Linked DNA regions of Rattus norvegicus. The protein of the gene in region 3 purifies or fractionates together with the protein of the main gene of each other region. This does not show direct contact. Links are inferred from orthologs where the notes say so. Each region holds a gene or a part of one and is shown on either strand. Other genes may lie near its edges. The genes, in order: Bag5, Dcaf7, Ambra1, Nek9 and Dnajb1.

The links.
Region 1: the proteins of Ambra1 (region 3) and Bag5 purify together in Homo sapiens (affinity purification with mass spectrometry, with the first as the bait; 3 studies listed by BioGRID). This does not show direct contact. The link is inferred for Rattus norvegicus from reciprocal best matches to the Homo sapiens genes AMBRA1 and BAG5.
Region 2: the proteins of Ambra1 (region 3) and Dcaf7 purify together in Homo sapiens (affinity purification with mass spectrometry; 3 studies listed by BioGRID and IntAct, with this or other methods). This does not show direct contact. The link is inferred for Rattus norvegicus from reciprocal best matches to the Homo sapiens genes AMBRA1 and DCAF7.
Region 4: the proteins of Ambra1 (region 3) and Nek9 purify together in Homo sapiens (affinity purification with mass spectrometry; 3 studies listed by BioGRID and IntAct, with this or other methods). This does not show direct contact. The link is inferred for Rattus norvegicus from reciprocal best matches to the Homo sapiens genes AMBRA1 and NEK9.
Region 5: the proteins of Ambra1 (region 3) and Dnajb1 purify together in Homo sapiens (affinity purification with mass spectrometry, with the first as the bait; 3 studies listed by BioGRID). This does not show direct contact. The link is inferred for Rattus norvegicus from reciprocal best matches to the Homo sapiens genes AMBRA1 and DNAJB1.

The regions. Positions count from the first base shown.
Region 1 is NC_086024.1:136,590,469-136,594,538, forward strand, and holds the start of Bag5 (BAG family molecular chaperone regulator 5), read right to left. Parts: upstream 2,811-4,070; 5' UTR 2,699-2,810; intron 2,257-2,698; exon of another isoform or gene 2,241-2,256; intron 1,057-2,240; 5' UTR 1,032-1,056; coding exon 1-1,031. Other genes in the region: Coa8 (cytochrome c oxidase assembly factor 8), read left to right, coding at 2,944-3,066. UniProt on the Homo sapiens protein: Co-chaperone for HSP/HSP70 proteins. It functions as a nucleotide-exchange factor promoting the release of ADP from HSP70, thereby activating HSP70-mediated protein refolding.
Region 2 is NC_086028.1:91,472,721-91,476,702, reverse strand, and holds the start of Dcaf7 (DDB1- and CUL4-associated factor 7), read right to left. Parts: upstream 2,804-3,982; 5' UTR 2,576-2,803; coding exon 2,438-2,575; intron 1-2,437. UniProt on the Homo sapiens protein: Involved in craniofacial development. Acts upstream of the EDN1 pathway and is required for formation of the upper jaw equivalent, the palatoquadrate. The activity required for EDN1 pathway function differs between the first and second arches.
Region 3 is NC_086021.1:98,155,157-98,159,430, forward strand, and holds the start of Ambra1 (activating molecule in BECN1-regulated autophagy protein 1), read left to right. Parts: upstream 1-1,469; 5' UTR 1,470-1,715; intron 1,716-2,026; exon of another isoform or gene 2,027-2,184; intron 2,185-4,274. UniProt on the Homo sapiens protein: Substrate-recognition component of a DCX (DDB1-CUL4-X-box) E3 ubiquitin-protein ligase complex involved in cell cycle control and autophagy.
Region 4 is NC_086024.1:110,688,078-110,691,588, forward strand, and holds part of Nek9 (serine/threonine-protein kinase Nek9), read right to left. Parts: intron 2,698-3,511; coding exon 2,542-2,697; intron 1,211-2,541; coding exon 1,102-1,210; intron 284-1,101; coding exon 122-283; intron 1-121.
Region 5 is NC_086037.1:41,428,335-41,432,319, forward strand, and holds the start of Dnajb1 (dnaJ homolog subfamily B member 1), read right to left. Parts: upstream 2,808-3,985; 5' UTR 2,708-2,807; coding exon 2,497-2,707; coding exon of another isoform or gene 2,325-2,496; intron 1,222-2,324; coding exon 641-1,221; intron 418-640; coding exon 187-417; 3' UTR 1-186. UniProt on the Homo sapiens protein: Interacts with HSP70 and can stimulate its ATPase activity. Stimulates the association between HSC70 and HIP. Negatively regulates heat shock-induced HSF1 transcriptional activity during the attenuation and recovery phase period of the heat shock response.

The DNA.
Region 1 (4,070 bases), on a different chromosome or scaffold from region 3:
GTGATGAGGGTCTGCACCTCAATCACTGCTCTTCTCCTGGCCTCTCTGATGCAGGGGTTTTTCTCCAGACTCACTTCGTCCAGCTGCCCGATCAAGCCCTGCAGCTCTGTCTTGGACCTCAGGTACAATTCAGGAGGGCTCTGTGCCTGGAGAAGTTCATTTTTCATTTCTCTCATCCTCTTGAGGACATTTTCTATCTTTATAATGGAATGGTTCTGTCCCAGGTCAAATGCATGTGTATTGTCAGCTTCCTCTTCTAAATCTAGATATTTTAGTAATTTGTTGATATCTTCCACCACCTCCCTCCGATAATTTCTGATCTCTGTACGCCCACACACATCTAGAGCATCTAAATCAGCCATCAGTCCTGACAGCACGCATGATAAGTGCCTGCAAGTCTCAGAACTGTCCACGCCCATCAGAAGTGCAATCAGAGTACCTCTGGCCTTGTTCACCTCACACATCACAGAATTGATCTTGGCGACAGAAGGATGCACATCCTCGGAAAGTGGCAGGGAAGGCTGTTTCCTCACACAGTCTTCAATAATCTCTTGTACCGCACAGATCTTGGTTAGTGTGTGGTACCTTGCTTTCCGCAAGGAGATCTTCCCTCCTGTTTTAACATGTGTCAGCCTCAGAATGATGTCCTGGATGGCTTCCTCAAACTCGCTAGTCACACAGTTGCTTCCACTGTAAAAGGGCACAGTCTTTTCTTTCACAAGGGCCTGAGCTTCTTGAAAGATATTCTTGATTTCAATCCGGTGTGGGTGGTTCGCGTTCTGCTCCAACTCTTTGAGAAGGCGTTCTGTGTCCTGTGCTGCCCTCTTCCTAGCTTGCTGGATGTCTCCTTTCCCTTCTGTATCCACAGAGTCGATTTCAAAAAGTTGTTTCGTCAGAATCCTCTCCAGTCTCTTGTAATTCTTGTCATCCGACAGGCCACTGAAGCCAACCACTTGCTGCTCTATACTCTTTACTTCCCGTTGGATCTCCTGAAGCCTACTAATAGAAGGGTGTTGGTTTCCCATATCCATACTTGTGTGTTCAGTTTCACAAGCACTGAAAGATAGCAAGAACGATAACTTATTAGTCTCTTAGGGTAATAACCCAATCCAAACACTCCTTTTTAGTACACTTTTTAAAAGGGCTCACTGGGGCTGTGGAGAGAGTTCTTAGTCAAGTGTCCAGGTTGCAACTCCAGAACACGTGCAAAAAAAAGCCAGGGAAGGGGCTGGAGAGAGGGCTCAGTGGTTAAGAGACTTGAATGCTTTCTAGAGGACCTGGGTTTGATTACCAGCACCCATATGACAACTCATGACCACCACTAATGGTAACTCCAGTTCCAGGGGATCTGATTTCCTTTCTGTACTCTACAGGCACGCATATGGTGCACAGACATCCATGCAGGCAAATGAAACACCAACACACATAAAATAAAACAGAAAGGCCAGGCAAGACGGTGCCCAGTTAAATTCCCAGGGCCGGGGAGGCAAAGACGGATGGAGCTCTGGGATTCACTGGCCAGCCAGCCAGCCTAACTGAGGGGCTCCAGGACAATGAGAAGCCTTGCCTCAAAAAACAAAACCAAAGGACACCACAGAAACGATGGCGGGTGGACAGGTCAAACTCTGGCAGCTGGGCATGCAGCAAACACACGGAGGGTTTTGTCAAAGGTTTAAAAGACACTTGAGGAAAAGGAAGATGTGACATGTCAACTGCCTCTTTGAACAGGTACAAAAAACAAACCAACCAAGCTGGTGAGCTGGTGTATGCCTACCATCCTAGCACCAGGGAGACAGAGGAAAGAGAATTACGAATTCAAGATCGCCAAGGACTACTTGGTGACACCAAGAATCAAAAGCAAAAAGAAAATAAGGGAACACGGCAGGGATTTTAAGAACAGACAGGAAGGTACTCATGGTCCAGCCTGGGTGGATGTCTAGGCCTATGAATTCTGTCTTAAACCATGAAAGCGAGCTGCATACACTTTCATATACTAGGTCAACCCACCGGGTTAGCAGCAACACAATCTCCTGAAATCCCACCAACCTAAGCTAGTCTTTGGAACCAGCAGGGTGCCCTTGTGGAAGTAGCTCTTCCAAACTGACAGGAGCAGCATTCGGACAGACAGCTAAACTTGCTACTTTTCAGAAAGTGGAACTAAGAAAACGTCCAAATCCTCGCCCTCGACTTCAAGTACCCGCCGCAAAAACCTGACGACTGCGATTAACTCGGTCACTCGCCTCCCCGTAAGTGTGCTTAGAGCATTTCCCACGCTCTCAGGTTTCTGTCAAACAGCTCACTTCTGGCGGGCAGGCCACAGAACTCAGTCCCTGGGGAGGGTCCAAGCCCGGCCTTCGCAGCGCTTTACTCCGAGAGGTCTGGGTGGCGGCGGTCTTGGCTGCCGCGGAGGGCGGCGAGGTGGGAGATCGGCCCTTCACGGGGAGCGGCACCGGAGCGGAGCCCCCAGCGTCATCCCCCTCGCCCTTCCCGGCTAGGTCTGACCCGGGCAGCCGGTGAAGGGGCCGGCGGAGGCGGCGGCAGCTACTGGCCGCGGCGGCCGCTCCCGGGTCTCGGCCGGGCCGGACGCGCCGCCACCTGACCTCACAATGGGCGCGCGGCGGGCGCTGGCCTGCGCAGCGAGGGTGGCCAAGTGCCCGACTCCGGAAGCTCGGAGGTCGCGCCCCCGCGCAGCGCTCACCTGTGCCGCACGCGCCATCGCGCTCCGCCACCTCCACTTCCGCAGCGTTGTCGCCGTCCTCGCACAGCGGGCCCCTCAGCTCCGAGCCCGGAGAAAACTCGCCTCCTCGTCCGTGCGGGCCCCGCAACCGGTCGTCCCTCTCAGGGAATGCGCAGGGTCGGCCTCGCCGCGCGTCGCCCCAGGCTTTGCGACGCTGCCGTAAAGCCAACCTTTCCACTGTCGCGATCCTGCCGTACGCGCGGGCCATGGCGGCTTTGCGGCCCGGAAGCAAAGCTCTTCGCCGGCTGCTCTGCCGGTCCTTCTCCGGCGGCGGCGTTCGGCTGGCCCGTGAGCGCGCTACGGAGCGCAGGGATGCTGCGTCCAGCCGGGTAAGCGGGACGCCGGGGCGCTGGCAGGGAGGGAAGCCGCTGAGCACCCCAACGACGCCCGCGTCTCTCCGGCAGGCTAATGATCCTTGTAGCGGATCCGCTGTGGAGAGTGCGAATCTTGTTTATTCTACCAAGTTAAATACCATTTGTATCAACACAGCTCTTGAAGTGTGTTTTCTCACTTCCGCTTCGTTAAGACTAGTGTTCGGTTTAAAGCGGTGGCCGACTTCATCATCTCACTTGTGTAGACTTCGCATTGTTTGTAAATATGCACGTGATGTCAGAGATCAACAGTGCTTGTCTGCAGCAGGAAAGGACGTGAAGCCTTTTTAAAAATCAGTTCCGGGGCTGGAGATGGCCCAGCAGTTAAGAGCACTAACTGCTCTTCCAGAGGTCCTGAGTTCAATTACCAGCAACCACAAGGTGGCTCACAACCATCTGTAATGAGATCCATACCCTCTTCTGATGTGTCTGAAGACAGTGACAGTGTATTCCCATATATAAAAAATAAATAAATCTTTTTTTTATTAAATCAGTTGCACTTCTTTGCGACAGGATGTTCTGTTTAAGGAAGGCCTAGGTTTTGAGTCTATCCGTCAGATGAAAACATTAATCAGTGGCTACTAACACTTCACCTGCCACTAGGCTAGTGATAGAGACTGGAGAGCTTCGATTAAGCAATAATTAAGAGAGGGAATGAGGGGCTGGAGAGACGGCTCAGAGGTTAAGAGCACTGACTGCTCTTCCAGAGGTCCTGAGTTCAATTCCCAGCAACCACATGGTGGCTCACAACCATCTGTAAAGAGATCCGATGCCCTCTTCTGGTGTGTCTGAAGACAGCTACAGTGTACTTATATATAATAAATGAATACATCTTTAAAAAAGAGAGAGAGAGAGGGAATGAGGGAGGGGAAGAGAGAAACAGAGAAAATTAAGAATTGCAAAATGTGCCTGCTGTGGAAATTTTCATTTGCTACGCTGTGTCTCCCAGCACACTTATTATA
Region 2 (3,982 bases), on a different chromosome or scaffold from region 3:
ACCATGTGGGTGGTAGGAGTTAGCCCTGGTTCTCTGTAAAAGTCCTCCCTCTAGCACATGATAGTCACAGCCATGCCTTCCCCAGTTCGTGTGGCTTTGGATGAGTTGTCTGCTTCGTCTCAGTTTCTTTCTGTGTTAAGATGAGGTAGAGTCAGATAACTTAGTTAGAAAGGTTTTTGTTCTTGTTCTGCGGATTTAACCAAGGACCTCGTGCATGGTTTGGTTACACCAACAGCTTGGGAAAGTGATTAATGACTCCAAGTGTTGGTTGATTTGAATAACACAGACATTTATCCCACACTTAAATGACCACTATGGAGTTCCACATCAGCACTGTGTATCCTAAAGTGGAATAAATTCTCTCTCTTCACAGAGCTTATGACAACAAACAAAGAAGGAGATATGGCACTTTTATTTTAGAAAGACAAAACCCACAAGGTAGTGGAACAGGGCGACATATGTTGGTAATCCCTGCCCTTGGGAGGTGGAGGCAGGTGGATAAGGAGTTCAAATCCCACCTGGGCTACATGAGACTGTCCCAAAACATAATAACCTCTTAAGATAGGAATGGTATATGTTTATTATCCACAGAAATCAAAGGAAAGATGCATGCTTCTAGGGTTTTTGTTTGAAACAAGGTCTTACTTTGTAACTCTGATTGGTTGGGAGCTCACTATGTAGCCCAGGCTAGCCTCAAACTTATAATAATCCTCCTGCCTCACCCTTTCAAAGGCTGGGATTACAGGTGACAGCCACCAGGCCCAGCTCGAGGGTTATTTTATATTACATACTTGCTCCTCAGGAGGCACTGGATATGTTCATAGTTTTAAATGAGGCACTGGAGAGATGGCTCAGCTGACAAGAGCACTTGCTGCTATTGCAGAAGACCTGTGGTCATTCGGTTCCTAGCACTCACACTGGGTAGCTTACAACAGCCTGCAACTCCAGCTCAGGGACACCCTCTTCTGGCCTCTGCAGGCACTCAACTTCTCCTTTTTTAGATAAAAAACTCTGGAAGAACTTAAAAGGGGAAAAAATTAATTTGTGTGAAAAAAACCCCACAGTCCTTTGAGAATATTTTACTTTTACTTCTAACAAGAATCCTTAAATAATATTTCTAGTGGTCTTAACCTTACAAACACTACAGACACCAGAACCCTGAAACACAGCTACAGGGTTATTGCCACTGTGGGTGGAGGGCGGGGGGGAGGGGGACAAAAGCCACTAGAGAGGAGAAAAGAAATAAGGCTCTTCCTTAGGAAAGGGCAGCTCAGTACACACTCCCTGGGACTGTATATGTGTGGTGTCTGGGCAATCAAAGTCCATTCTTTTCATCCATTTCTCAAAGAAGACTCCAAAGAAACGGGGACCTTTACCCAGAGAAACATGTGTGCTCCTGAAATACTATAAATGAACCTAAATATTCAAATGTTTTCACCTGGACCTTCACATGTAAAACATGTAAGCCCTCTCAGAAAAAATAAAAATTCGGTCTGTGCAATGCCTTATAGTTAAATCCTAGACCATCTACTTCTTCCACTCCTCCCCCCCATCTTGTCATTTGTCTCCAGTCTGATGTTCATAGGAGTAAGCCAGAGTACTGGCTCTAAACACCACTGGCCACAGCTTTCTGTAGCTCTGATTACTGTCGTTCGTATTTGTTTTCACCCAAATTACAACAAAAGAATGAAGGTAAGAGATTAGGGAAAGAAAATTCTTCCTAATACTTTCAAACCTATATCCTGCATATAAAAACTCTCCTTCTACCAGCATTTTGTTGGAGTGATGATGTCCAGCAATGTTGCAAATCAACGTGTAAGGAACAACGAGAAGAATAGGTCAAACGTCATCTTTCTCTATTCAGAAATAATGGCGGGATAATGCCACAGACTAAGGTTTCCAAGGATAGACTGTTTGGGGGAGGGTGAACATCGAGGAGCAAAACCAGTGACCAATGACAACCTAGCACTAGGGCTCTGTATCCATGAGAAACACCTGAGATGGGGAAGATCTTGCAATAAATAGCCCCAACAGAAATCTCGCGTGGCCAGGAATGCACGACCACCAATCCAAGCGCCCGCATCTTCCTCCACTGCCTCTCTCCCGCCCCCCACCTAGCAACAGAAGCACTGCGACAGAAGTGGGGGAAATGAGAGGGACGGAGGAAGACATGGCTTTGGGGGGTGTAACTCCGGTCTGAAACCTGCTACTACCATCAAAAATCTTATCTGCCTCAGGCATGTCACAACACCGTGCCTCGGTTTCCCCGGCTGTCAAAACTAAATAAGAGGCAACGAGTGTGACACCCTCAGCAACAGGACCTCAGAGGACCCACCCCCTTGTAAAGGCGAGTTCGCAGGAGACTTGTGAGATCTGGGGCTGCCGCCCACCTCGAGCGTTCCTCGCCAGCTACAAGCTGAGCCCCCTCACAACTTACCTTGTTGTTGTACTCCTCCACGAAGCTGCCCAGCGCCAGGCGAAAGCGCTTGTCCGGCCGCACGCTCCAGTTCATGGCGTACACAGTCCAGGGCGCTTCATATTTGTAGATCTCCTTCCGTTTGCCGTGCAGGGACATGGTGGCGGCTGGGCCGCAGAGACGGCCGGAGAGGCAGCGGGCTGAGGCACAAGACGGGCGGGGAGCGGGGCTTGGGTCCGCGGGTCCGAGGGGAGGCGGGGCCCGGGCGGTCAAGAACGGCCTAGCCCTCCAGCAGGTCCTCAGCTACACACACACACTCGGCCGGGCCGGACCACCAGTTTCAAACCAGCTCGGGCAGCGACTACCACCTTCCGTTTGGGATGTCGGCCCGCCCTCTCGGAACGGAAGCCACGCGACCCCACAGCGGCGACGAGCGTTGGCTACCGGGCACGTCCTTTCTAAACTGTTCCTTCTTTTCATTGGTCGACACAGTGGTAGCGCCCGCACCCTCCACACAATTGGTCAAAATGTTTGTCATTCTACTTATTCGCCCCGCCCAGCTCCTGGAGGCGGGCTCTTTTGAAGTCCCAAAGATCATTGGCTACCCAAGATGTCAGTCAGACGGATAACGGCGCAGTGCGGGTGAATGGGGGCGTGGGTGACATAGGGGCAAGTGTGCCCCGCTACTGATCCACATTCTAGGCCAAGAGTAAAGCCTGCCACTTCTCCATTGCTGCTGCTGTTCTGATCGCCTCTATCCACTGAGAGTAACGGTCAAATCCACTTTCATAGATGACCTCCTGCCTTTATTTCATCGCCCTAAGTCCAGCGGTCCCTCAGCCTTTGCCAGCCGAGAACTCTTTCTAGCTCCAATGCCCCCTTTTTAACTGTTCCCTTACAGGCCTGATAGAGACCTTCAGGGACAGGCTAGTTTGATTAAGGCTTTCAAATACATACTAAAAAGACTCCTGACTTCTAGGATTGATTTGCAATGGACCTGGCTTTTAGTAACTTACCTTCCTCTCCTGGGGTGTTCAGAACCCAAATGCTAATCCAACCTTAAATATCTATATGCCATGAGTTTGAAATGCAGAAAAGCCTGGATCTAGGTACACCATTATAAATGTAAATGCTTTTAACGATATTGAATGCTTAGGCAGCATTATAAAACACAATTTTTAAGATACGTTATTTAATTTTATGGGTATTTGTATGTGCCTGAGTGGAAGTGTACCACATGTGGACAAGTGTCCACGGAGGTCGGAAGAGGCATCTGATCCCTTGGAACTGGAGTTACAGATGGCTGTGAGATACCATCTGAGAGCCAGGGCTCCAAGCCACGTGCTCTGCACGAGCATCCAGTGCTCTTGAGGTCTATACTATATCTCTCCAGCCCATAAAATACAACTTGTAATGCATGTGATTTTAACAGAAACAAACACTGGGAGCCTCGAGGGACAGGGTATACACTTATCAATCATCTTTTAGTAACGGCCACCCGTAGGAGCAAGTCTACTCTGCACTTTTTTTTTCTTTCTTTCTTTTTTTTTTTTTAATACAAAGAGC
Region 3 (4,274 bases):
CTCCCTCGCCTCAGCCTCCAGAAAGTTGGGATTAAAGACATACAGTATCATTTTTGTTTGCTTATGTCTAAGAAGACCTAATCATAATTAGGTAATTGCCTTTTCTGAAGAGTAGCAAATACCTATCACATGGAAAATATTTAGAAATATCATATTGATTGTACAGAATGGAGTCTGGCCAGTGCAGTTGTTAGGATCAGCTACAAATCAAGTATGTCGGTAAATGCCTGTAATTCCAACAAGTGGGAGGCAGAGGGAGGAAGATAGGGTTTGAAGTAATATGGATTACCTAGTGAGATTCTGTTAAAAACAAACAAACAAACAAACAAACAAAAACCCCTCAGGCATGGTTACTTATAATTCCAGGACTCGGAGGCAAAAGGATGGCTGTGAGCTTGAGCTCAGTTTGGGCTACATAGTGAGTTCCAAGCAAGCCAGGCTACAGAGTGTGAGCCCCCACCTCAACCTCTCACAATCCCTCAGGCACACTCCAAATTTGGAACATGAAGACAAGCACATCAGAGTTTCAAAGTCATTCTTGGCTACATAGAGTTCAAGACCAGTGTGTGGGTTACATGAAATCCTGTCTCTAAAAACTAATTAGTTAACTAACTAGCTACTTAGCTAATTAAAAGCACATTTGTGGACTGTGGCTTTAGATCTTTGGAAGAAAAAAAAAAGAGAGAGAGAGAAGTGAGAAAAAGAAAAGAACAGGCTGGGAGGTTGTGGTGCTCACCTTTAATCCCAGCACTCCAGAGGCAGAGGCAGGCAGATCTGGGTGAGCTGGAGGCCAGCCTGGTCTACAGAACCAGTTCCAGGATAGCCAAGGGTACACAGAGAAACCTTGTCTGGCAAAACAAACTAAGTCAAATCATAAAAATTTAAAAACAAGGTACAGGAACTTTCCCCTCCCACCTTAAGCTGTTCTATGTTCTCCTGGATTGAACTGGGGCATTCATAGAGATTATTCCGTTTTCTTCAGCTCTGAGAGGAAATCAAGAATCAAAAGAAGCGAAGTCATTTGTTCAACTGGGACAAGTAGTGTAAGAAGTCTGTAAGTGTAGGGCAATCGTTGAACTATTAAGGAGAGCTTTATTCTAGTATGATTTATCTTCAATCAACGTGTTCACAAAAGACTAATTCCTTTTTCACTTAAGACAAGGTCTCATATAGTCCAGGTTGGCCTTGCTCTTAACTGAGTATGACTTTGAACTCCATATCCTCCAAATGCCTCCTCTTCCTAAATTCCTGGGATTACAACCGTGCTTGCTGTCTCCGAAATTTAGTTCTCTAAATTACTTCAACACTCGGTCACCAAGAGAAAATGGCAGAAACCCAGCCTACTCTATGCTTTAGCTTATGATCTGAATTTGTTTATTTATGCCTAGGAAGGCAGCGGGACTTGCAGCAGGAGCTGAGCAATGTTTCGGCACTCGGCTGCAGTTCCTTGAACGATTGCTTGGGCGCTCTTCCTTTGATGTCTGGGCGTTCGTGTGTTCGATGATCTTTTGCAGCGTCTTCTAGGTTGATGTCTCCAGAGCGGCGGCGGCGGTGCCAGGTCCTGGACTGAGTTATCCGGGAGACCCCGGGCTCTGGCCGCTTTCTTCCGCTGGTCGGTCGAGCGGGCCCCTCGCTTCCTTCAGCCTCTCCCCGCCTTCCGTCCGTGGCTCCGTGCGCTCGTTGGCCTTCCGGCCAAGCTCTCACTCGCCTCGCAGGTAGGCCCGGGAGGAGCCTGGGAGGCCCGGTCCGGCATCCTTCCGCCGAAGGCAGGAGGAGACCTTGGCGCCGGCCGGTGGGCGAGCGCGCGGCCCGTCGGGGCGCGCGTCGTGAAGGGGGTTGCGCCTGGGGGCGCGGCCGGAGGGCTGCCCGGAACTGAGGGAGAAGCCGGAAGGAGGGAGAGATGCTGAAGCTATTGGCCGGGTTCTGTAGAGAGGGGATGTCTGGTCCTGGACTCGTGTCGTCACCCCTAGATTGTGGGAGCTTGGCTCTCTTAGACCCAATTCTCTCTCTCCTTTCCTGCAACTCATGTTCCGGACGTCATTCCTCAGTTGCACTGGTGACCCACGCTGAGGCTAGCCTCGGAGTGCCCTTTGAGTTGGTGGAGGCTCTTGAAACTAGGCCCTCCAGCTCCTTGGAACGAAATGTCAGGTTCTATTCTTTTGGAGTAGGGAAACTGAGGCTGAGGTATGGGACCTGACTTTTCCCTATGACCCCGACAGAGCATTAAATATGCTGTTTGTTTTTGTCTTTAACAGTTGACCCTTCTCTTTCTCCCATTTTACTGGTCACTTTTAACTTAACAGTGATTTCTCATTTGACTACTTGGAACTCTTCTTTCTTAAGAAACATTTATTGTGTTACTGGAGGCTTCAGACATTAAGGGAGCAAGGAATATTTTTTGACTGGATTTGTCTTTTCGAAATTTGTATTTTAGCAAAAGTAGTAAGGATAGTTTGTTTTTGTTTTCTCATAAATAATTTTGTTTACTTCCACTTTACTTCTGATTAATACTGATTCCACTCTTCAGCTTACTCTAACTCTTTTCTGCTATGGGATTAAGTACTTAGTGCAAGATGGAAGATGGTTAAGACTTTGAACTTAGGTTCTTGGGAAGGTCTTTTCTAGGAGGTATCTAGAGGGAGTCTAAGGAGACTCTTTTGAAACTTTTTTTTTTTGTATTTGGTTAGTAGTTTAGTCATTTTATTAAGAGTTCAAAAGTCTGTGTAGAAACTATTCAAACTTAGTTAAATTGAAAATGAATCTTTTTGTGAATTTCACTGTTTCTCTTTTCTTTCTCAAGGTCTTAAGGTCAAGTGTTTTTGTTAATTCTGTTTGATCAAGTGTCATGATCCTAGTCATTCTAGGTTGGATAAGTTTCCACAGTATGTAAAATTCATAGGAGAATGACTTTAAGGTCGTAAGAAATTCTGTTTCTACACAGTTTTAAGATGCTTTATGAACTTTGGAAAGATGATAGAATTTTACATTGTTTCTCTAATTTTTTCTTTAATGTATGTGTAAGGTTAGTGAGGCTTATTATTCTTTCTCTTCTTTAGTAGTGCTGGGAATTTTGAACCCATGGCCACATACACATGCTCTGTCACAGAGATCTACCCCTGAGATTGGCAAGATTTAAATGAAGGTGATAGATTGAATGATTGGTTGATTGCCTGTTTGTGTGTGTGTCTGCACATGGGCATGCCATACATGCATGTGTTTGTCAGAGGACAATTTTCAGGAGTCTGTTCTCTCCTCCTAGTCTATAGTGAACTCAGGTTATCTGGCTTGACAGTAATCCCATTTTATTTTCTGAGCCATTTTGATGGTCCATGAAAATCAAATCTTTTGATCATAAGCAATTTCTTAGTTATAAGGACCTTGGTACTTTTTATAAGTGTGTAGATTCTTGATTGGGTAATTAGGCCAAAATTATATCTTCTTTGAAGAGAACTTTTATTATGGAAAAAATATACCAAAGCAAAGAAAGTAGAGGTAGAAGTAACATTGCCTGCTGTGACTTTATAGTTGTAAGTGTGTCTTAGTGACTCCCAATGAGTGACAGATAAGAAATGGTGATTGCTGTATATGTCATGAAGAAAAAGGTTAGAAACATTTTGAATGTTTCTGTAAGAAAGAACCAGCAGAAGTTTAAGTTGAATTGAGACAGATAAACTTGGTGGTGGGTGAGGTTATAGGAATGAGACTCTTAAGCTTCTCTACTTTTCTTTATAATTCATACAAGTTTTGCTTGATTAATTTTCGTATATTTTTTTGGTTTGTGTATGGTTGTTTTGGAGTTTTTGAGGCAGAGTGGACCTCTTGTGTTCCAGGCCAGCTTTAAATCGACTGTGCAGCTGAGGATGACCTTGAGCTCTTTGATCTTCCTGCCCCTACCTCAAGTACTGGATTACCAGTGTGAACCACTACTTGATGCTATATCTTGGGAATTACCAAAGTCAATTTGGGCCGTCTCCTGGCATTTCAGAAATGTTCACATTATGACTGAATCATTCTGTATTTTGCTAAGATGGTTCCTGTGGATAAGTAAGAGATATAAGCTTCAAATAGCTGTGGCTGTACATACTTTAAATTCCAACACCCCAGAGACCGATGTAGGAAGATTGTGAGTTCTAGGTCAGCCAGAGTTAACATCCTGAGACTGCCTCAAGAAACAAAAACAACAACAAAAATGAACACAAGACAAAAAAAAGACGAAAGCCTCTGAATGTTTTCTGGATTGTGGCTGGACCAGAGTTACTGAAATAAACTGCTTT
Region 4 (3,511 bases), on a different chromosome or scaffold from region 3:
CTTAGAAATCTGGCCTTTAAAAAAATTTACTCTATCAGACATAAAACATATGCCAGTTACATAAAAAACTTCTTCCAGAATTCAAACCTGTCTGGAAGGCTTGAGAAACATAGGCACTTACCATCGGTGGCAGCGATGGTGAACTCATCGCCACAGGAGACCCTGATCACTTGCTTCCCACCAAGGGGTCCCCCCAACAGGTTGATTCCCAGGCGCTTCTTATAATTCCCAACACCCAGCTGCCCACACTTATTACAGCCAAAAGTCAGCAACCGGCCTCGCTCTGAGAGAGAAGCAAAAATAAAGGGCAATCACAAATGGGTCATGAAACACAGAAGACGGTACAGCAATGCAGACTCCTGCACTAGAACGTGTACATATCAAGTTACCCATGTGACCTTGAGGCGAGGGTATCTAGGTGGTGTGACCAATCAGAACCTTAATTTAGAATACTTATAGTAAGGGCCAATTAGAGACCATAGAATTCAGATGTTAGAAATATGTTTTTTTTAAGAGTATTTATGGCTGGGCATAGTGGTGCACAACAGCTTTAATCCCAACATTCGGGAGGCAGAAGCAGGCAGATCTCTGAGAGTTTAACAGCCTGCTCTACAACAAGAGTTTCAGGACAATGTTCAGTCAAATATTTGAGACACAGAGAAACCCTGGCTTAAAAAACAAAACAAAGATAATTTATTAATTGACTTTATGTGTGTATGTCTCTCTGTGTATATGCCACATGTTTGGGTGCCCTCAGAGGTCTGAAGAGGGCATCAGATCCCCTGAAGCTGGAGTTAATAGTCAGTTATGAGCAGTCAAAAGTGGATGCTGGTAAAGATGCTTGGGTTCTCTGGACAATCAGCAAAGACTGTTAACCCCTGAGCCATCTTTCCAGTCTAAAGTGTGGTGTACTTATTAAAGTGCACATTTATCTTGCACTTAAAAAGATCATTTTTAAAAAATCTGTACTTGAATGCCTGATTTGTTAGTGAGTTAATATTGAATACTAGGGAGAAGTCAGAAGAGATATCAAGAAAGCTAACACCCTATAGCACAGAGCACCCGAGTTCTGAGGGCATGCACCCAGCTGAGCCTGCTTACCATCAATAGCAGCCGTGTGAGTCTTGCCTGGAGCAATGGTACGGATTTTGTAAAAGGATAACTGTTTGGCCAAGGTAAAGGAGGTCGTGTAGGGAACTTCGTGGTATGCCTGAGACAAGTAAAACAGAGCAACAGGGTCATGAAGCAAAGGGTGGGACGGTGATGGCGGGGACAGGCTGAGGATGGAAAAGTCTTTTCAAGCAAATTCTAAGAGAGCATGCCACATAGCTTTCAATCTTCAACAGGACACAAGAAACAAGTAAAACACAGAATCGGAGAATTTGTTGCAAGAAGCAGGGATTTCTGATTACAAAAATCTACGTTTGTACTGCTTGCATCCGCTGCTTATCTAACAAGGGCAGGGCAAAATCTCTCCAGCTTACAAAGAAATCAGCTACCATAATCTAATTTCACCTTCATTATACATCTTTCTCTGAATTGGTATAAAAGCCCCACATAAAAAAGTTGACCACAAACCTTCATCTTAACTACCTTTCAAACTACCCACTCTCCAGCCTTTACCCTGAGTCTGTGCTCTCCTGAGAATGGACTTTAGACACTACACACAAATTAACTCAACATGGGGCTAGAGAAATGGCTCAGTGATAAGGAGCATTGTTCATCCAAAGAACCGGGAGTTCAATTCCCAACACCCACATGGCAACTTGCTATTGCCTGTAGCTATAGTCCCACGGGATCCGGTACCCTTCTTCTGGTGTGCAAATGTACATGCAGACAGAATGCCCAAATACATAAATAAATAAAACAGTTTAAAAAAGAACAAATTAACTCAACTTTTCATCAAGTTGCAAAACTAAATTTAGTTGATTTTGCTCTCTCCTTGCCCTCTGCAGTCAATGGTGTTGAGCTCTAACTGTAAAACCTACTGCACAGCTTGACCCACATCTGCACAAACACATTTGTGGGATTTTTGCCTTTGTTTTTTTAAAGGAGTGTTGCTACATACAGCAGGTTGGCCTCAAACTAAAGATCCTCCTGCCTCAGCTTCCTGAGTGCTAAAATTAAAGGCATGCACCATCACACTTAGCCTCTGTATGAAGACATTTATAAAACCACCACCCTGATCAAGACAGAGGTCATTCCCTCAGGTGATTCACCTGATTTTTGATTAAGACTCATGTACCCCAATAAAGAAAAAGAAATATGATAATAATAATAGTAATAATAATAAACCCCACAGAGAGCTGCACTTCTGACTATTGCCATCAAGTTCATTTAGCCTGTCCCTGAACTTCAACAGAACACAGTCACATGCTGTGAACTCTTCTGTGGCTGGCTGCAGCTGGCTGCTTTTCTGAACACAATGTCTGTGAGACTGCTTTCTTCTTGAGTTAAATTCCATGGCCACTAACTTATAATACCAAAGAAATCCCAGCCCAGCATTCTGGCAACGTGGTTAGAACCTCAAGGGCCACTCACTTCATGGTTGATGATCCCAGACATGCACTGATTCAGCCCCAGTTTGTTGAACTCGTTGAGTCCGCAGGCCAGCACTTTGCCTGACTGAGTGAGCAGGAAGGTCCCATCACAGCCACATTGAACCGCAACAATGATTAAGGCCTTTGGAACATCCACCTGCAAGGAAAAAACTTAATGGGGAAAAAAACCCAAGTAATACATAAATCATATTAGAAAACAACCCTCAAGTTCCTTCATCATGCTATCATGCTGCCCAACAGCTTGAAGGTCACTCTTCCTAACACAGAGTTCAAGTTTTATAACACATAGGGCTGCAGTTGAATGAACAGATGCTCCCTGTTAGTCTGTTTTAGGAATGGCTCCTACTTCTTTGGAGAAGGCTTCTGTAGAGGGGAGACTATGCAGACAAACTGGGAAGGGGCAACTCTGATCTCTAGCTGGCTGTTTTCTGAGATGAAGGGCTCCTCGACAGTTTTAGAAGAAAGACAGCAGCCTGGAGGATCTCAATTTTTTAGAAAGTGTATGGAGGGAGCAGCTAGGACCTCCATATCCTCCTACAGCTTACAGGAGAGGGCTGAAGGAGGAAGGGTGTCAGACGGGCCAGGGATATGTATAAAACCTTGAGCCTTAGTTTCTTTTCACAAGTAGAATGGTTGAATCTAAAGACAGTCTTTAAGTGTGCCATTTAATTTTAGAATAGAAGTAAAAATTTGGCAACCATTGGTGGTAGAGCTATAGTTAAGTGGTAGTTAACCTTCCAGGATTGGGTAAGCCTGGGCCCTGAGGTATGTAAGAGTGGTGTGACTGTGCTTGTCCCTCAGCTGACTCAAGTCTTGGGAGCCTCTTAAAGTGCCAGCTCTGGCAGTCCTGACAGTAATCAGATATGATGTCTCCTACTGCACAACCTCTAAGAAAAAACAATCTCACAAGGCATTCAATTGTAGTAATGGGAGGCTGGGGTAAGAGATAC
Region 5 (3,985 bases), on a different chromosome or scaffold from region 3:
CCTATCGCTCGAAAAACCACTGTAGTCTAGTGCGCGACTTTGAAAGATTGTAATATATTCTGTGGAAAACATTCGGCAGAGCAAAAGCCCTCCCTGGGCCCTCCCGCAGTATGCAACCAGTGGAACGGTCTGGAAATCTGCAGCTCTGGAAAGGTCCCTGGCTCAGTCCTTGAGGAATGCAGGCAGCTATATGGGAAGAACCTGCTCCAGGATGGTTCTGGATGAGATGGGGATCCTATCAGGGAAGATGACTTCAAATTCGATAACAAGGTCTCCACGTTTCTCAGGTGTTTTGGGGAGGGGGAGGCCTTCTCCAGGAACTTTCCTCCGCATGCCAGGCCTGATGACATCTTTGAATACAACAGGAATGGTCCTGCCGTCCAGAGTAGGAACATTCACAGTGCAACCACAGAGAGCCTAGGGAAGCAAAAAGACAGTGTCAGGTAGCAGCTGGCTTAGGAAGCTTGACCCCTCCAGACCAGAACCATCCAGAGAAGGGTCAGGTCCACCAGACCAGGCCTTCCGAGACCCCACTACAAAGCTCCCCATGCTGTCAGAAACAGAGTGCCACCCCCACAGCCTGTTATCCTCAGTACCCATCTCTCTTCATGATTCCTCCTCCCCACACCCAGCACCTTACCTCCCGAAGGCTAATCCTGGCTGGATAAATGACATCAGAACCATCTCTCTTGAAGATATTGTGTGGCTTGTCCTTTAAAACAAAGACGATGTCAGCTGGAATGTTGTTCGAGGTCTGGTCCCCTTCCTTGGGAAAGGTGATTTTGGTCCCTTCTTTCCAGCCCCTCTTCACTTCGATGGTCAGGATCTTATCTTCATTTCGAATGCTCTTTCCATCAGGGTTCAGCCGCTTGTGGGAGATTTTCATCTTCTTGGTACAGCCGCTGTAGATCTCTTCAAGGGAGACCCGAAGGTCGTGGGTGACTGGGGGATCTTGCTTCTTCCGGGTGGGCTCTTGAGTAGGGCGGGAACGTCCAAAGTTCATATTGGTGAAGCCGCCCATACCCATCGGAAAGCTAGAGAACGGGTCATCGATGTCCATGCCTTCTTCCCCGTTGCGCTGCCCAAAAAAGGTATCAAAGGGATTCCTGCCACCGAAGAACTCAGCAAACATAGCATGAGGGTCTCCATGGAATGTGTAGCTGAAAGAGGTACCATTAGCACCACCACTGCTCCCGCCACTGGGGCCACCACCCTTCAGGCCTGGAAAACAAAACGGCAACTCAGGGTTACTGCAGGAGAGTCAGGACCCTTCATCCCAACACTTCTACACACAGATAAAACACAAAGCCCTTGAAACAAAGATCTTGGAACCCTAGCTCTCAAGACAGGAGCAGACTGATCTCTGCAAGTTCCAGAAAGCCAGAGCTCTAACATGAGATGCTGGAGAAATGGCTCAGAGCACTTGCAAAGGAACTATGTTCAATTTCCAACACCCACAAAGCAGCAGACCATGGTCTAACTCTAGTTCCGGGAACTTCAATGCCTTCTCTAGAAGCGTGTGATGATGCACGGAGGTACACACTCAAATAAATTAAAAAATAAAAGTTCCAGCAACAGTGAGGTCCTGTCTCAAGTAAATGGTAACATCTTGTTCCCTTGCATGTATTACTGTCAATTCTAAGTAGCACAAGAACTTGCTGTGTAGTCTAGATTAGCCTCAAGGCAATCTTTCTGACTCAGACACCCCCGGGGTGGGGGGGATTGTCACAACGTCTGCTTCCTTTGGAAACAGCTTACCCTGTAGCTCAGATTTGCAGCAAATTCACAACGTTCCTAATTCAGCCTCCCAAGTGGAGGTGTGAGCCCCAGTACACTGCTCTCAACAAGTTTTGGTCTTAGTAAAAAAGCAGCAGAAACTATAGTGTGTGTGTGGGAGGGGGTGAGGGGAAGGAGTTACGTGTATATTTTTAAAAGCTTTTCCACTTAAGTCAAGGACGAATCTCAAGTCTTTAACTCCCAATGGCAACAGGAACAGGAAACAAACCACCCCGTTTAACTTCGTGACAACAATTCAGTAGAAAGGTCTCTAGATGTTGGTGCCACCAGGTTGACGTGACTGCTCCATCCTCCCAGCTATGCTGTAACACCTTACAAAGAAGTTCCTACGCACTAGTACCAGAAAGGTTCAACTTTGGGTAAGCACCGAGCTTGCGGCTGGGAAAGGGAATCGACACTTGGGCAATTTTCATTCCCATCGCGACCGCCGCCCCCCGCCCCCGTCTGCAGCATTCCGGCGCTGTGCAGGCGGCCGGCCGGGAGGGGCTGCGGCAGACGTGCTAGAAGCTTCTGTGCTAGCGGCGCACCCAGAGCTCCTCCTCCCGTCTGAGGCCGCCGATTAGAGAGAAGGTGGAGGAGGCAGCGCCGCCGCGGGATCCCCGGACCATCTGTCCCCCGCCGAAGCCTCAGAGAGGCCCCGAGTGCCTCGGTTTCCTCGCCTGTCAAACGGCGGGTCACCCGGGCCGCGCGCACGCGTACCTTCCTCTCCATAGCGGTCGAAAATCTCGCGCTTGCGCGGGTCGCTGAGCACGTCGTAGGCCTCGGCGATCTCCTTGAACTTCTCCTCGGCGCCGGGCTCCTTGTTCTTGTCCGGGTGGTAGCGCAGCGCCTGGCGGCGGTAGGCCCGCTTGATCTCGTCGTCGGACGCGCCGCGGGCCAGGCCCAGCGTCTGGTAGTAGTCCTTGCCCATGGCCACCGCCGCCCAGCTGTCGCCGCCTCCGGCTCCGCTGCTGCCCCGTCCCGGACTCTATATACCCGTCCGGCGGAAGCTTCCAGATCCCGCCAGCCCTCCAGAACCTTCCGCCCCTCCCGATGCGTCGCCCCACACCGGCCAATCGCTGCAGCCCGCTGCGTGACGCAGCTCATCTGGGGTGGGACCCGGCGGCCAACGGCTTTCCGCGCGGGGCCACGCCCCTTCTCTCTCTCCCCTGGTCAACGCCTTCCTCGGACGCGCGCGCCGGCTGCCGAGGTCCCGCCTTCGCGGCGGATCCAGCCAATCGCGACCCGCTCTCCCTGATGACGCGAGGGGGCGGGCTACAGAGGCGGCCCTCCCGGATGGCCGCACCCTTTCCCCAGGTGATCGCCGCTGGGCGGTTCTGATGCGTGACTTATGGTAGCTACCTGATGTGTAACTCCAAGTCTTCCTGCTTCAACCCAGGGATAAAAATACGCACCCCGCCCTCTTCTGCCCGTAACCCTTTGTCTTCCCGTACAGGCCGTTACTGTAAAGCGAGGTGAGGCTGGTCTGCCTTGGGATTGCCCCAGTCGGGCTGGGTTATTTTACTTCCTACTAATTCCTATTGGAATTAGCTGGTTTCTTGGCGTTCTTGGTGTCACTTCCTTTGCAGAGAGTGAAATCTTTTTAAGATCCACTAGGTGCTTCGTAAATATTTCCAAATACTTTGACATAGATGTTTTTTGCTTTGGCTTCGTAAGCCTGGGATGATACGGTCAAGGACACTGCTGAGTGAGGAAGAGGACAGAGCTTCTGATATTGGAAGCTGGAGGAGTCAGTGGTGGTTCTTGCAGGGAATTGCCTGGAAGACAGTGCATGAAAGGCTGACAGTAATCCTAGCACTTTCTGGCTGTGTGACTTTGTGCTGGTAAAGTAGCCATTCTGGTCTCAGTGTGCTCATCTGTATAATGGGAATGGTCGCTGTATTATGGTTAAGTTGACATTATCCAGCATTTGTGAAAGTGCCGTAGACAGACAAGGTACAAAGGAGGTGTTCTTGAAAGGGATGATTAATCATCTTGTTTAGTGGACAACTGTTGACACTCACTTTCTGGCAGCCCTGCAGCATGAGAGTCTGATAACCCTTGCCTTAGGCACCCCTGAGAAAAACAACCTTAGCCATCCCATGATGGTATAGCTGTGTGTGTTTTGATTTCCCTGACCGTACTGACCCTGTGAAAGCTGAACCAGTTGAGTCCTCCTTCCCCCAAGATGGATTTGGGGCTAGGAAAC